2 linked regions of the Struthio camelus genome follow. The protein of the gene in region 2 purifies or fractionates together with the protein of the main gene of each other region. This does not show direct contact. Links are inferred from orthologs where the notes say so. Each region holds a gene or a part of one and is shown on either strand. Other genes may lie near its edges.

Evidence for each region. Proteins that work in one complex are often made in the same cells at the same time.
Region 1: the proteins of RAB3GAP2 (region 2) and VAPB purify together in Homo sapiens (affinity purification with mass spectrometry; 4 studies listed by BioGRID and IntAct, counting the BioPlex papers as one, with this or other methods). This does not show direct contact. The link is inferred for Struthio camelus from reciprocal best matches to the Homo sapiens genes RAB3GAP2 and VAPB.

What each region holds. Positions count from the first base shown.
Region 1 is NC_090959.1:13,524,040-13,531,846, reverse strand, and holds the start of VAPB (vesicle-associated membrane protein-associated protein B/C), read right to left. Parts: upstream 3,019-7,807; 5' UTR 2,993-3,018; coding exon 2,932-2,992; intron 1-2,931. UniProt on the Homo sapiens protein: Endoplasmic reticulum (ER)-anchored protein that mediates the formation of contact sites between the ER and endosomes via interaction with FFAT motif-containing proteins such as STARD3 or WDR44.
Region 2 is NC_090944.1:117,734,720-117,742,067, forward strand, and holds the start of RAB3GAP2 (rab3 GTPase-activating protein non-catalytic subunit), read right to left. Parts: upstream 3,001-7,348; 5' UTR 2,888-3,000; coding exon 2,779-2,887; intron 1-2,778. UniProt on the Homo sapiens protein: Regulatory subunit of the Rab3 GTPase-activating (Rab3GAP) complex composed of RAB3GAP1 and RAB3GAP2, which has GTPase-activating protein (GAP) activity towards various Rab3 subfamily members (RAB3A, RAB3B, RAB3C and RAB3D), RAB5A and RAB43, and guanine nucleotide exchange factor (GEF) activity towards RAB18.

The sequences.
Region 1 (7,807 bases), on a different chromosome or scaffold from region 2:
CTATTTAAAGAAAAAAAAAAAAAGAAAATAAGATATCCCATGTTCATGTAACAACAACCAACAAGATGTGTAACTGAAAGATGTATAACTGATTTTCATAGAATCACTTTTCATCAGGGTTAGTTTCAAACTACAGCTGTAGCTTTCCACCCAGGGGCTATGCATACAACCCTTCACATTTGAAGATCACAGTATTATCTCAGAATTTGCCACGCTCCATTTCCTATTCAAACACCAGCGCTGTATCAATCTTTCCTAAGAGTGCCATTCTGCAGTGTAGTGCATTATAATATCCCAGATCATTTTGGTAATAATACAAAAGCCTGAGAATTAGGTCAAAAGAACATGATGTCAACTCTATTTACATTTTAAATAAGCTTCATCACAATAAAAAAACATGGCACATGCTTGTAACAGCAAATCCAGGCTGATCACTTTTTGTGCATCACGGTACTTTCTCTAAGTTTCGGTTACTGTAAGAAGCAAGTGATACATGTTACACAGCTACATCATTTGCACAGAATCTTAATAAAATTCTTCTCCTCTTAACCAAACCTCCTTGCATCAGCACCACAAGTTAACAACCCTCACACACGTGTACTTCTAATGCAAATATGACTGCCGTAACCTAGTTTGGCGTGTGAAAGGAAAGTTAGCGCGAGTGTCAACAGAAGCAAAGATTTGGTAGCAGAGGCTTTGGCAGAAACTTTCAAACCAAAGAGGCATAATCCTCTGCAGACTTGCACGTGCACATACTACTACTATATCTTCAGTATTAACTGCTTATGTTAGTTGGGCACAGTCCCACGGCCACGTTAGCCTTGCAGCAGTCTGTCTTGCTCTCATCCCCATCGTTTACCTGTGCTACTTGCACTGTGCTTGTCGAGCTGACAGACAGTCAGGTTATGGAACTGCTTAGGCTGAAAATTAATCCAGTAACAAGAAAGGGTGAGGAGGGGGTGGCAGCGGGAAAGAGAAAAAGGAAAATCAGTTTCCAGGCAGACCGTGCAGCACTCAGAAAACAGCATCAGGAAAACTGCATCTTCCTGCACTACAGACTTCTGCCAAATTAAGGCAATGAGATCTCACATTTAGTAAGCTAAAGCTGGCATGTCTAGGTGTACGCACTGCAGTCACACTTTTCCTTGCCATGCTGACAGGTCTGTTCAAAGTAATTAAGGCACGTGCCTAACTCTCTGTGTCTGAATCCAATGCAAATTCTCATCTGCTTAAAGCTGGGCATCCCCTAAACAATTTACTGAACCGGTGCCTTTCAGAGCAAATGTGCTGCAGTAGCACTCGATACAATCTATTCACTGAAGTGATGTTAAACTGGCAATCATTTTGATTAACAAGGCTAAGAATAAATTCTCAGGAAGTTGCCCAAGTTATTCCCAGAATGTTTTAGATGCATTTTCATCACCTTTCCCCAGACAACAATTTTTGCACTCCAACTCAGTAACACAGACATATATCCAAAGGCAAGGTAATTGGTAAAGGCAGAAATACAACCAGTGCTTCTGCTGAGGCAATCCCTCTTGCTCCTTTGTGGAAAGTAGCAGAAAGCAAGAATAGGAGGAGAAAGACTTATTTCACCACTGTCTAATCCTGTCCACGTGTCAGACGGAAGTCATTAATCACCTGGCATATACTGGTCAGCCACAGAAAAGTAACCACGGAGCCTTCAATAGGTGGAGATTAGGAGAGGGGGAAACCTAAATTGTTTTGTAGCTATTCTCAAGAGCCCAAATCCTACTTATTAGCAAGATGTGTCCTGACTGCTGAAAGTCCACATGGACCAACAATTCATTCATCCACCGGAAGAGTCAGGTTTACTATGTGCATGCATCTGGGGGTGGAAGTACAGGAGGTGAATATGACACTTCCCTTTCCCGTCACAGACCTGCTGCTGGCCGCAGGGCATGGAAATGCCTCCCCAGCAGCTTCCTCAGCCCCTCACACTGGGATGGGAACTTACTGCAGAGCCTGAGTAAGCATTAGCACCCCCAATGAAACAAACATCCAAAAGCTCAGGCATGCCTCCATCTGCATGTTTCAGCCTTTCTACTTAGAGTCCTTCTTACCATCGCACCTCAGTTGTTTCTCAGTTTCCTTATTACGCCTCTGACAGTATCTGAAGTCACCTTACTGTTTTGTTTCCACGTTTTTCTCCCATTTTATCTATGTGGGACTGTATCAGCAACAGAGATAGTCGAAATAAAAACACTGATGGCAAAACCAAAGACTGTCAAGAGAGCTCAATACTAGGTGCGTAACCCGACTTACTTTAAAGTCATATATAAAGTTGATGACCTTTAAAAATAAACACTGAAGTGAAAAAAGCTGAAATGTCAAGCAAGACGTTTTGAGCTGTCAGCCAGGTGCCTGCGAATCAAGAACATCTAAGATCCAATCAAATTCTCCCACCATCTTACTTGTCTTTAAACAAATCACTTAAGGGCTTGATCTTCTGCTATTAAAAGCCTTAAGAGTTGACAGCGACTCCAAACAGAAGCAGGTTTGGACCCTTATAGTTTCTCTCCCTGTGAAGTCAGGAGAATACTTACCTAATTACAGAGAATCTTGTGAAGATTAGTGTTTTAAAAAGCACTGAATGCCAAGTTTTAATCATCATCATCATCTGACTCTGGAGACCTTTCTAATTAAGTGAGCATCAGCAACTTTTGAAATCAAAGTCGTCGAAGAATGAAAAACAAGAAGTGCCTCTGTTGCATAAACATCTTATTTCAAAAGTAACTTACTGAAAGGATCCAACAATCCCAATTTGTGAACTACTTTTAAGAAAAACTCAGGCAGTTCTTAATTCCTGTGTAAACCATTCCTGTGTAAACCCTTTCAATCTCGGCCCAGATTTCACATACAAGCACCTAGAAAACTGTGCCCTTGTGGGATCATTTTCTTTACTCTTACCATGACTATCCTCACCCAAAGGAGCCCTTGAAGTGAAGTGGAAGGGACGGGAAATGGTCATTTTCACTTTTGCTGTGCCAAGCAGTAGAAACCTTGATGAAAAAATTATTACAAAAATTAAAATACCATCCAAATCGCTCCCCGTGCATTAGTTTATGCCAAGGATTATTTTTTAAAAATTATCTAATTGATAAAATAATCCCAGACTGAAAAAGAAAACAGAGAAAAACAACTATACTACATGTTCCACATGCCAAACTTGGAGCAGGGTTTACAGTTTGTAAATTATTCCATTTGGATGGATTAATCAGTGTCCTTCTCCGGCCTGTTTTGGCACAACCTGTTTTTGCCAGAGCATGTCTCATGCTTAATGGGGGGGAAAAAAAATGACACAAACACAAATATGAGACTGAAGACTATTTTCAGGATATCAATTAGTATATAATGTTTGTCACCTTCTACATCTTCAGAAGAGGATTATTAACTGTTTGACTTCGCAGTTTTAAGAACTATGAAGCCATACATAAGCTTGCCAAGAGAAAGGAAAGAACACGCCCTTCAAGTAATTTTTGTAAAAGGCTCATTTGCTTGTGCTGATTTCTTCAGAATTTTATTACATCCTACGATTATTTACAGATATTGTAAGCAACAAAAGCACGCAAGCAGAAATATCTTTTTCTGCATCCTAAACTTCAGAGAGATTTATTTCTGCATACAATGGAATAAACAAGGGACTGACAGAAGAATTGGCTACCTTTCAGAGGTATATCTCTGTCTCAACAGTGCTTTCACATCCTGAGTCCCAAACACACCACATTACATTGCTCATTCCATCCGCAAATATGATCTATACCACCTCTCTCCAGGTATGAAAAAGAAAATAGTGGCATACTCTCTTTTGACAGCGGAACAGTTACTACAATGTCATGGTTATTGAAAGAGAGGCAACAGTGATACCTGCTTATTCTACATAGCCAGAAGCCTCACTCAAATGGGCTGGCGGATGTTGAAAGGATACTGAAACTGAGTCCCACACCTACACCGTTTTACAATTTGTGTTGTAAGTAACTGGATCACCAGGCAAACCTCCCCCTTCTCTATTTTTTCCACCCCTCGTTGTGGAAACCAACCAAGAAAAGAGGATTAAATTTAGAACGATGAAATCTTTAATCCATAGCATGATGGCAGGAGGCACTTCATTTGCAGCTGAGAGAACTAGTCACTAAAGGAATTTAGTAAAGAGATTATTTTCATAAAGCACTTCTAATAACGTGAGATAAAGTACTGCAGGCTGCAGCAAGACCCAATCTATAAAAAATTTTTTGAGGCCAGATGAATTAGAGTTGAGGTAGGCAATTTTCAGAGCAGTTAAAACGCAGGAAGGACAGACTCAGCCAACTGAGTCTGGAGTGTCTTGCTAGTGTAAACAGTCAGACACTCCTATCCATGTGCATTTTACTCCTACACTGAATTAAACACGGAAATGGTGATTTGCTTTACAGGCATTTTCAATGGCAGCAAAACTGTGACAGCTGTTTCAGACTGATGGCACAAACTGCCCTCTGCGACAAGGTTGCCCAGCAGGCCACGTTTCCAAACTCAGCAGTAGTCCAGGCATATCAGAAAATATCCTATATGCCTTCTGCAGACAAACCGTTTCCATTTCGGTCTACAAGGCAACGGTATGAAAGGATTTATATATTTAATAAATATTGGGTCAAAAGCCCTCTGGCAGATTTGGCATGAGTCTGGCCCTTACTTTAGACAAACTGGTACGTAAATCCTGGTATACAAACACAAAAGAGGCTGCTTTTCTGCCCTGGTTATCACGTGGAAAGACAACGAAGGGAGGCCTCAGCGCTTCTTATTGCGGGAACTGTCTTCACAGTGCAGGACTTCCTCCTTCAGAGAGGAGAGAAGTTGAATTGGGAAAGAGTCCTTAATCTAACCATATTGTCACTTAAATCAACGAGAATTTACTCGGAGAAAAAAATGGCTTCTAGCAGCACGATGATAATGGGAAAGATCATACTCCCTACAAAAACAAAGATGAAATGTCAGTCTGAAACAACAGCTGTTACCACAAGCAAAACTGTTACAAACATCATCAATAAAGCTTTCAAAGCCAACCAACTGCACTGACAGAAAAAGTAAAAAGGCTGTTATTGTACCGACTAGTACAACTGACAGAGTTGCTTTCTATAGTTATTAATTGTCGCCAGCAGGGAGCAAACACAAGACCAATATGGTAACAAGAGAGTGAAAAATGAGTGCGACTGTAAGATGTGGGCAGAATTAGCAAGGGTCATTTGATCCCTGCATTGTCCCCAGCTAAGCAAAAAGCTGTGTTTAGAGGCATTCTGAAAGCAAGAAAGAGAAAGTCTCAGGTCACCTAGCTTCTACAAAAATGACACTGCAACATATGTAGAAGTTGCTCATTTGACACAAAACTCATCTGATGCAATACCTGCCAGGGCTGGATGCATACAAATCAAGCTGCTTTTAAAAATGGATATTTATTCATAGATGTAGGCTGCCCTAAGGTTGGACAGTTGGATCATTCACTATGGTGATTATGCCATATTTCCAGTTGAGTTTCAAAGCAGATCTGACAATCCATTCAAAGATTCACACTGCAATTTTTACTACAATCCAGGCCTAATTCTGAATATGGCACAACTAAACAAAATTCAAGCTGATGTTCAAACGTAGCTAACCTATTTAAAATGAAATCAAGCGTTCCTGCACAGCCACTGTTGATAAATTTTTCATTTATAAAATCTGTGGAGTGAGGAAAAAAAGAAATGTGATTTCCAGTGAGAAGGAACTACCAGAAAACTCCTGTGCAAATCTGTACTCCTCATCGCTCTTTCACAAGTGACACGACACTGCACAGAGCATGCACGGTAACAATGTGTACACAGTTAATTGCTAAGCATCTGTGTGAACTGCATCTGCTATGATGCTTTACCTGTGTCATCATTCTGACATGATGGCCCCATTCCTCGAGCTTATGGCAGCCACCTTGTACCTTGTGTTTCCATACACATTTTCAATATAGTCTGTTCCCGGATATATTTTCTGGAGAGATGAACAGAAGACAGACCCCACCACCCAAATCAGACAGGCATTCTGCCACCTTGGTGGACTTTAAATAATAAGCTCAGAAAACTGGTTTTTGCACATCACAGAATCACAGAATGGTTGAGGTTGGAAAGGGACCTCTGGGGATCATCTAGTCCAACCCCCCTGCTCAAGCAGCATATCTCCCAGGATCATGTCCAGGTGGGTTCTGAATATCTCCAGCAAAGGAGACTCCACTACCTCTCTGGGCAACCTGTTCCAATGCTCTGTCACCCTCACAGTGAAGAAGTTTTTTCTCAGGTTCAGGTGGAACTTCCTGTGGTTCAGTTTCTGCCCGTTGCCTCTTGTCCTGTTGCTGGGCCTCATCCTCTTGACACTCCCCCTTCAGATACTTGTACACGTTGATGAGATCCCCTCTCAGTCTTCTCTTCTCCAGGCTGAACAGGCCCAGCTCTCGCAGCCTTTCCTCAGAGGAGAGATGCTCCAGTCCCCTCAGCATCTTCGTAGCCCTCCGCTGGACTCCCTCCAGTAGCCCCATGTCTCTCTTGTACTGGGGAGCCCAGAACTGGACACAGTACTCCAGGTGAGGCCTCCCCAGGGCTGAGGAGAGGGGCAGGATCACCTCCCTCCACCTGCTGGCAACACTCTGCCTAACACACCCCAGGATCCCATGGGCCTTCTTAGCCACAAGGGCACACTGCTGGCTCATGCTTAACTTGTTGTCCACCAGGACTCCCAGGTCCTTTTCTGCAGAGTGTGATTGTAATGGTTCCATAGCTCAAACTGAGCAAGTGTTTCCACCTTAAACACCTCTTTTAAAAGAGGGGTTAAGATTTTAATATTAAAAATTCAGTTAGTTGAAAATTGGCACACAAACTCCAGAATCCTAAGGAACTGCAGATTCTGAATGTATGTGCCCCATATAATAAAGGCAAATAGTTGATCATATTGAAAGCACAAAATTCCACAAAACTAGGAGAAGCAACTGCCCGCTACCTTCAAATGATCGCTGTTCATGCTGATCTTACCACTGCATTAGGATCTTCCTCGAAATAGTAATACTTTGATCCCATTAATGCTCATTACTTCAACTGCATTACTTCTTAGAATCTTTGCAGTACAAAATGCTCCAACAGCCCTTAACCTGTAAATGACATTTGCTGAAGCCATCAAATGGACTGTGAGATTTTGGAAATGGTCTCAGGAGACCTAAACACATTTAACAGAAAAAGTGCATAAACCTTCTGGGCTGCTTTACGCATTTCAAGTAATGTTTGTTTAACTCTAACCAAAGACATATCCTATTCAAAGTTTCAAATTTGTGCTACCCGCATAGCTGCGATTTCTCCCACCTCGCCCAATGAAGCTGTTAGTATCTATAGCGTACAGAACACCAATACATTAGAGAAACTCAACAGACGCATAACCTTCAACTTTCCTTTGACTTACTCCCACCTTCCCCCCTCACCACCAAAGAGTGTCATATGACATTTACAGTGCACCAGCGCATCAACATCTTGCCTTTACCTTCAGTTCTTTTCCTCTGAATGCTGCTCCTTTAAAGTTAAGTTGGAGTCTACAGAGAGTGATGAGTTACTTATAAAGGTAACACTAACGATGCACTTGAAATTAGAATAATTCAATGAGACACAGCAAGTCTGCGCAACTATAACGGGCACTTAATAGCTAGAATAAGCTATTGATTTTACCTGAGTTGCAAGAATAGCTAGTATAACATGAACTTTAAATATTTAAAGTGTCATCAGCAAATGATTAATTGTGTTTGATATTT
Region 2 (7,348 bases):
AAAGAGTAGGTTCATTACAATTTTGGTGTTTATTAAGCTATATTTATTCACATATAAGCAATTATGTAAGTACAGTATAGAAGCTGTATGTGATTGCAAGTGAGCTATTTTCCGTTAAACATATAAGCAAACTCCTCTCTACTTTTTCCCTTAAAGAGTAAAAATGTAGATAAAAGTCCAAGTTTTCCAATGTAAAATTTTATTAAAATATCATTTTAAAACAATACATTCTGCCAAGGGAGCAGTTTTTATAAAGCTTTCTGATAGGAAACAATTATTTAGATGTTGTTAGTTTAAAAATCTTTGCCTTTGCTCTGGTTATATCAACATGCATTTTTTTTTTTTATTGCTTGGGACAATGTTTTGTTTTCTTTTCCTGGTGCACAACATTAGAGGCAGAGGATTCTTTTGTGTTCTCAAACTTCCCGTTACTCTTTATTTCCAGCAAAGAGTTCTTTCACGTGAACAATGTAAGAGCCAAAGTATACAATTATCACTAAAGACAAAACAAAGCAATTTTTAGACTGCTATGCAAGAAGTCAGATGCTTACTAATAAGAAAAGTGAAGAGGATAATATGTAGATGAAAAGAATAAAGGAAGAAAGAATGAAAAACTTAATGAACCAGAGCAGCAACTCCTGACACGCATCATCAGCTAGCAGCTTTTCATACTCTCATTTACATCAAGAGAAAGCAGATCCTCTAAGATTTAGATCATTCCTTGTGTTTTCCTAAATTGAATCAGCTTGGAGTTCAAGACCAAAAGGCAAGCAACGGCTGCAGTATCTATACCAGCTCAGTTTAACGTAATGATGTTCCAAACAACCCTGCAGCTTAACTATTCAGTTCGTTAGGCAGCAAAGTAGCAGCAACGCAGACTTGGCGAAACAAGCGTGACAGGAAAAGGATTTAACGTCCCATGCAGTCAAATTCTTTTTTTCCCCCCCTAACTAAAAGATACTGTTGCAACTTGTGAAGGTATCTTAAGATAAGAGATAAGTTTTGGAAGTGTTTCTCCCTGTCAAAGATGAATGCACTAGCAATTTCTTCTTCAACATCAGTAGTTTATATTCTTATATAAAAGTCGCTTTGGGAACTCTTTTTCACTCACATTTATGCTTATTTATCCTGAACCAAGAAAATACCTGCAGTATCAACAAAACACACACATGCAGTATCAATAAATTACAACATATAAATCTGAAAGATTTGAAAATACCCAAATGAGCAGTGTTTTGAAAAATACTTGATTCCAACACTGGTCTGCCTCAATGACTGAATGAGTAAATATAAAACTACTCCAGAACACAGCCAACTCATTAAAATTGAAGAACAGCACATTTTAGAACATTCTTTGCTCCTCTCGTTTTTGGAAGTCTTCCAAAACTTTAAAAGTTTTCTCTCTTTACAGCTGCCATTTGATAGATCTACTTTGACAGAAGAAAAGTATTCAGCAGAAGTTACTTAACACAGACTATTCTCATGTACACTGCCAAATGAGAGAGAAATATTTTAATTTCTTCCGCACATATTTTTGGAAAACAAATGTGGGTTACCATCTTTCACCTTTATCTTCAATGTTCAACAAACACTAACAATTTCTAAAATGGTTCCAAAACCTCTCCTTTAGATTTAGACGATACCAAGAGTGCACGCATTTTTCAGAGCATTACAGGAGTAAAACAACATGTACCAAAGTAGCACATAACTGTTTTCTAGCAAAAGTTTTGGATAATCTAAGGTATGACAATGAAATCTGACTGTATAAACTTCTTCTGAAGTTACTTTCTTCCAAGTGCATTTCAACAACAAAGTAAATCGATTTCAACCTTGAACACAAGAAGAAAACAACAATAAAACACGTTATAGTAATATTCATGCAAAACTTTTACTGGTAAAGTTAACTAGCAGAACATAAAGTGTATTTTTACATCACCTTCACAACCGTTGCACCATTTCCCCCTCTTTCCTATCCACCCTTTAAGTAAGCCTCTCTGCTTTCTCTCACAGCACTGTTAATACTTGACAGGTCTTTATAAGCACCTCCACGGGCCTCTACCAAACTCTTTATTTACCACACAGTTGCCAAAAAAAAAAAAAAAGAACAAACAAAAAAAGCAAATATTGGCCTATACAGTTAATTTCACATTGCACGAACAAGAGGCAGGGCAGTGACTCATTGCCCTGCAGCGTCCGGCCTGTGTATGGATCTGCCTGTCCTTCTCTTCTGTCCAGAAGACAGCCTCTGCTCCAGACAGCTCAGCTTCCTGCTCAGAAACCTGCTCCTCAACTTCAGACTGCAGTTCTCATGAGGCGAATTTACTTTTCAGGCCCCCGAACTAAACGTTCACCTTACTCGCAGTGCCTTTTACACCGTCAGACAAGCCTACGCGGGCAACACTTGTTGACTGTGACAGGAGCCCCTCAGAGAAACTGCAGCCCTTTAAGGAGCAAAACTGCAGAACTTGCGGCACACAGGCTCCGCGCCGGCAAAGACCTTCCCCCGCGGCCTGCAGGACGACGGCCCGCACCTGAGGGCAGGCGTCCACCAGAAGCTCCCTGGGAGCAGGGAGAACCGCTGCGCTACCGCTCGGCCCTGGCGCCAGGCGCCCGTCACCGCCGCAGCACGGCAACGCCGCTCGGCCGCCCGCGGCCGCCTCCCCTCCCCTCCCGCGCCGCCCCGGGACGCGCCGGGGGCCGCCTCGCCCCCGCCGCCCTCCCGCACGGCCCGGCGGGCCGGGCCGACACCAGCTGCCCCTCAGCCCGGCGCGGACTCACCGCTCTCCCGGCCGGCCGCGGCGCTGCCCTGGCGGCGGTGCGGGCACAGGAAGTCGCGAGCCGCCTCCAGGTCCTGGAAGTGGCCGAAGGGGACGAGGGTGCACGACATGGTGCTGGTGGTCGTGGCGGTGGTCGCAGCGCAGCCGAAGCCGCAGCCGCCGCCCCCTTCCCGGCGCCGGCCGCCCAACCCGGAAACGGTCGCCGACTTCCCGGCCGCCCGACGGCCTCTGCAGGGCGCATGCGCGGGCGGACAGGGGCCGGTGGGGGCGGTGGAGGGCACGTGACCCCGGCAGCCGTTGGCGGCGGCGGGGGGGCCGTTGGTGGGGTGGGAGGGTGTGGGCCCGGCGGGGCCGCTCCGCTCCGGTCCTTGCCGCCCGGAGGAGCGAAGGCTTCTCGGCGGGGTCGGCTGGCGGAGGTGAGCGGTGTGCGGGCAGCGGCAGTGACTGGGATGCGAGGGATGCGCCGATCCCCGGGGCCGCGGCCTGACCTGCAGGGAAGCAGAGGCGGCGGTCGCGAGGAAGGTGCGGCGACATGCTGCAACGGTTTCATCGTCCGCAGCTGATGGTGAAGAACCCAGAAAGGCAGCAAATGCTGCGGCGGATTGGGACCGCACGCCTTCAGTGGGTAGCGAGAGGCAGGGTTGCTTTCTACTCTTAATTATTTTTGCAAGCAGGTATTTCTTGTGTTTAACGTGAACGTACCGTGTTGACAGCTGACCCCTCCAGGGTTAAGGCGGAGAGAAGCGTGTGCGAGCAAAATTCGGGGGGGTGATTTCTGAGCTCCACAGACATTGCCCCGTTAGCAGCCCTGTAAGTTATTTGCTAATAAATCTTACTTTACAGGGCTTTAACTGTATGGAAAATCCTGTTGCTTCTTGTCCCACAAACGTCTTTTATTTGTTATTGTCGATAACAACGTTTGTGCTTTTTTAGTAGTGAAAAGCAGAAATGACTGAGCAAATAGTCCAAATAAACCATTCTTAAAGTATAGAAAGTTTGGGCTTTGATACACTTCTTCGGGGTGACCTTTATCTCCAAAGACTTTCTGAGACTGAACACGTTTGCTAGAAGTTTCGTTCTAAACTGCAATTGCTTCTGACTTACCTGAAGGCACAGAGCGTAGCAGGCTGTAGCCTCTAGAAAAGCTCTATCCACTTTCCAAAGAAATTGGCTTCAACTGGAAACTTGTTTACCATTTTCAGCTGTATATTATTTTGCTACAGTAATCAGGATCCAATAGCAGTCATGCCCTTAACAACAGCATGGACATTTGTTTTTGTATTTTAAAGCTGTGGCCCCAGGCAATACACAGGTTGTCTTTGAATTTAAGCAGATGAATAATGCTGTGCCTATTTAATACAAGGTTATTGCATCCTGTTTTTTTTTTTTTTTTTCCTGAACAGGGATGACATGCTGTGTACCAATGGGAAGGAAGTTCTTGGAAAATAAGGTCGCTCTGTGGGAAAAGTTGAAAGCACTGGTATGGAGGAGTGGCTAATGATTTTCAAAAAGAAACACTAATTAGGCATGTAAAGCCTGCGGAAAAAACATTTAATGACAACTTATATGTGGAACATGTGCAAAGTCTCTAGTAATGTCAAGTGAATAAATAAAGAGCACACAAGAAATTAAATTAACAAGCTGGTTCATCATTGTTTGGTGATGCTTTTATCACATTATGAAAATTTTCTTCTTTAGAGACTCTTAATGAACATTGCAAGAGACTGTAATATCCCTGTCAGATGTGTTGTACACAGAGAAGTCAAGTTAAAAAAGTGACAAGATACTAATTAATGAATAAAATAAGGCAATGAATGATTCAGTAAATGAATTAACAAATATTTAAAACCAGAGTTAAGCCCTGATGAACTAACCTGAATACCTTGTCTACTGAATTACTGTTTTTTGTTACTTTTATTTTTGAAGTATTGAGGTTTGTAAGATCATCTGGAGCTTTTTTCATCACTGAATATTTGTGATTGATGCTGTCCTGTCCAACTCATAACTTTAGCATTTCTTGACTTTTGTCTACTGATGTGGTCTTAATAGAGGGCCAAAGCATATTCCTAGACACAATTACCTGTAGAGGATAGTGAAAACCCCCAAAGTTTTCTTCCTGCAGTTTCCTCTGGATTCTGTGGAAGGCAGTCTTGAGCCAGAAAGATGATCCGATTTCAGACTGCCACACTCACTCCCCTTGTTTCCGTGCCACGGGGCTCTCACACAGGATATTGGTGCTCCCCTCCCAACACTCCAAAACATTCAGTGAGCCAAACTCAGTAATTTCAGCTGCTGCTATCACCCAAGCCAGCAGTATAAAGATACTTTTTTTGCAGTTGCTTGTGGCTACTTTCATACAGAATAACATTTTCCTAAGTTATGCTTAGTGATAATTGTGTTTCTCACAGCGCCGTTCTTCCACCCATAGAAAATACGCTCTTGCATTATAACATACAAGTTACGTACATTTACTTGTCAATACAAGTTAATACAAGAAAAGAAGTAAAATGGCATTTATTGTTTAAATGTTAAAAGCCTCAACAATATTTTCTCATGATAAAACCATGTTAGGTGCGCTGTCGGGCATTTGTTGGGCAGTAGATTTATATTTCAAATTAAATTTTAATTTCTCCTTTTTCCTTCAATTTTTATTGAAATGATCTTCCATTGTATCTCCTTTTTTATCATTCGTCTTTTGCTTGCACATCTTTTTGGCATGTGAATATGTTATTAACTTGATAAGTGATTTGGCAGGAGAAGATTCCAACTGCATTTCATAAGCTGAGCAGTGTTGGGCACTGGTGATCTAAACATCCACTGCATGTACAGCTTTCCTTTAGCTTTGGATGTGCATGGACAGTGTGTGCAAAATAATGTGTGTCTGCCTCCCCATGAGATAGCCTTTGATAATAGCAGTGTTTTCACATGTAATTGTACTAGCAAAGCCTGGGCCAAAGTAGCTTGTAGCTGCTATCCCTGACTGATGAGATTTGACCTTTCTGCGATCCTGCTAAATCTTATTCAAACAAAGTATGTCACTATAGAAAATTATGTTTGTTGAATCTTGATTCAGTTCCATTGTAACAAAGAGGACATCTCATAATTTGAAGTTAGGTCTCGTCTGTTTAGGGGCTCTACTCAAAGCCACTTGAGGGTCTCTTACTTTTGATTCGGTTCTGGCTTTAGCCCCAGCATTCATGGCAAGCTTTTCTTCAACAAGTTTTACAGATTAACGATAAGCCTCCTTTTGTCTTGGTGGAGAACAGCAAACTCAACTTCCGGCTTGTGATAGGCACGCTTTTTGATTGATTTTTAAAATTTTGTCTTGCATCCGACTTCCGGGATATTTCTAGTCTTGCTTGTGTTTAATCACTGTTTTGTCACTGTTTGGATTATCAAAGACATTATGGGAGGAACGTGTACAGTTTGTAGCATACAGAAATTTCTATTTCAGAATATTCAAAATCATGAAACCTACAGCCTTGTGCAGTGCTACTTCTGTCTTGCTCCATTTTGGTGTAAAAACACTAAGAAATTCTGTAGTTCGTCCATCTACCAGCAGAGGTGGAGATCCTGTTGTCCATCTCACTGCAACATCTTGTACTTGTGCATCTATATCTACTGTGATTAACAGCCCTTCAAATGGCCTCTTCATATTCATGTATTTGTTTTTCTTCTGTTAGAAGATACGTTGCACTACGTATGTTTTTACCTCACTGAGCATGTTTGTGACAGTACAGGAGATTGCCCTTTGTCAGATTCATTGCTCCCCTTCCCTTTTTCTCTAGTAGCATTCAAAAGTGGTATCAGTGTGCACATGCTGCACATACTGAGTCTATGGTATTTTTTGTTCCCTCAAGATTTTGGTGCAGATCAGTGCCTAGCTCTTCTCAAGGCATATAAATTGCTTATCCTCCAAACGCATTCCGAAGGATGTCCGCTAGCATCTTTGCGTTGCCACTTATTCCACAGAGGTAAGCCTTGCTGAAATATAGTTACCTTATGTGTAAACGGTTACGTTTCTGCCTAGTGGAAAAGGGAATCTCTGTCAGAATGGATGTCTATGCAGTTTATCCCCATCTCAGGTCTGTAGGTGAGGAAGGAAGGAATAAGGGATATCCCTTTTCTCCCCTTTCAGCTCACCTCTGCCATCTTGCTGATCTGTACGTTCAGAGGAAAACCTCTGCCAAAATGTCTGATCCTCTGCTTACCCATGGGGGAGAGATACGATCCATGTGCCTACAGGATAAGTACAGTGAAAATGTTTCAATTACTTTGGACTAGCACTACATTAATAAAACAAGGTTATCCAGTTTCCTTCTTGGTACACTTTGGGCTTATGTGAAGTTGGGATTTGATTAATTGTGACACATGCTTAATGCTTAATAATAAAATGTTTTCGATCTGTACATATGCATCCAAAACATAGTCAGTAGTGTGCACTTGATTACTGTCTTGTGCTGAGCCAGTATTTGTTGCTCCAAAACCCTGTTCTCAAAACAAAAGCAGACCCTGCCCTTTTGAAGTATCTGCCAATTTGTAGCAGTATCATGTGCAGCTTCAAGCCTAAA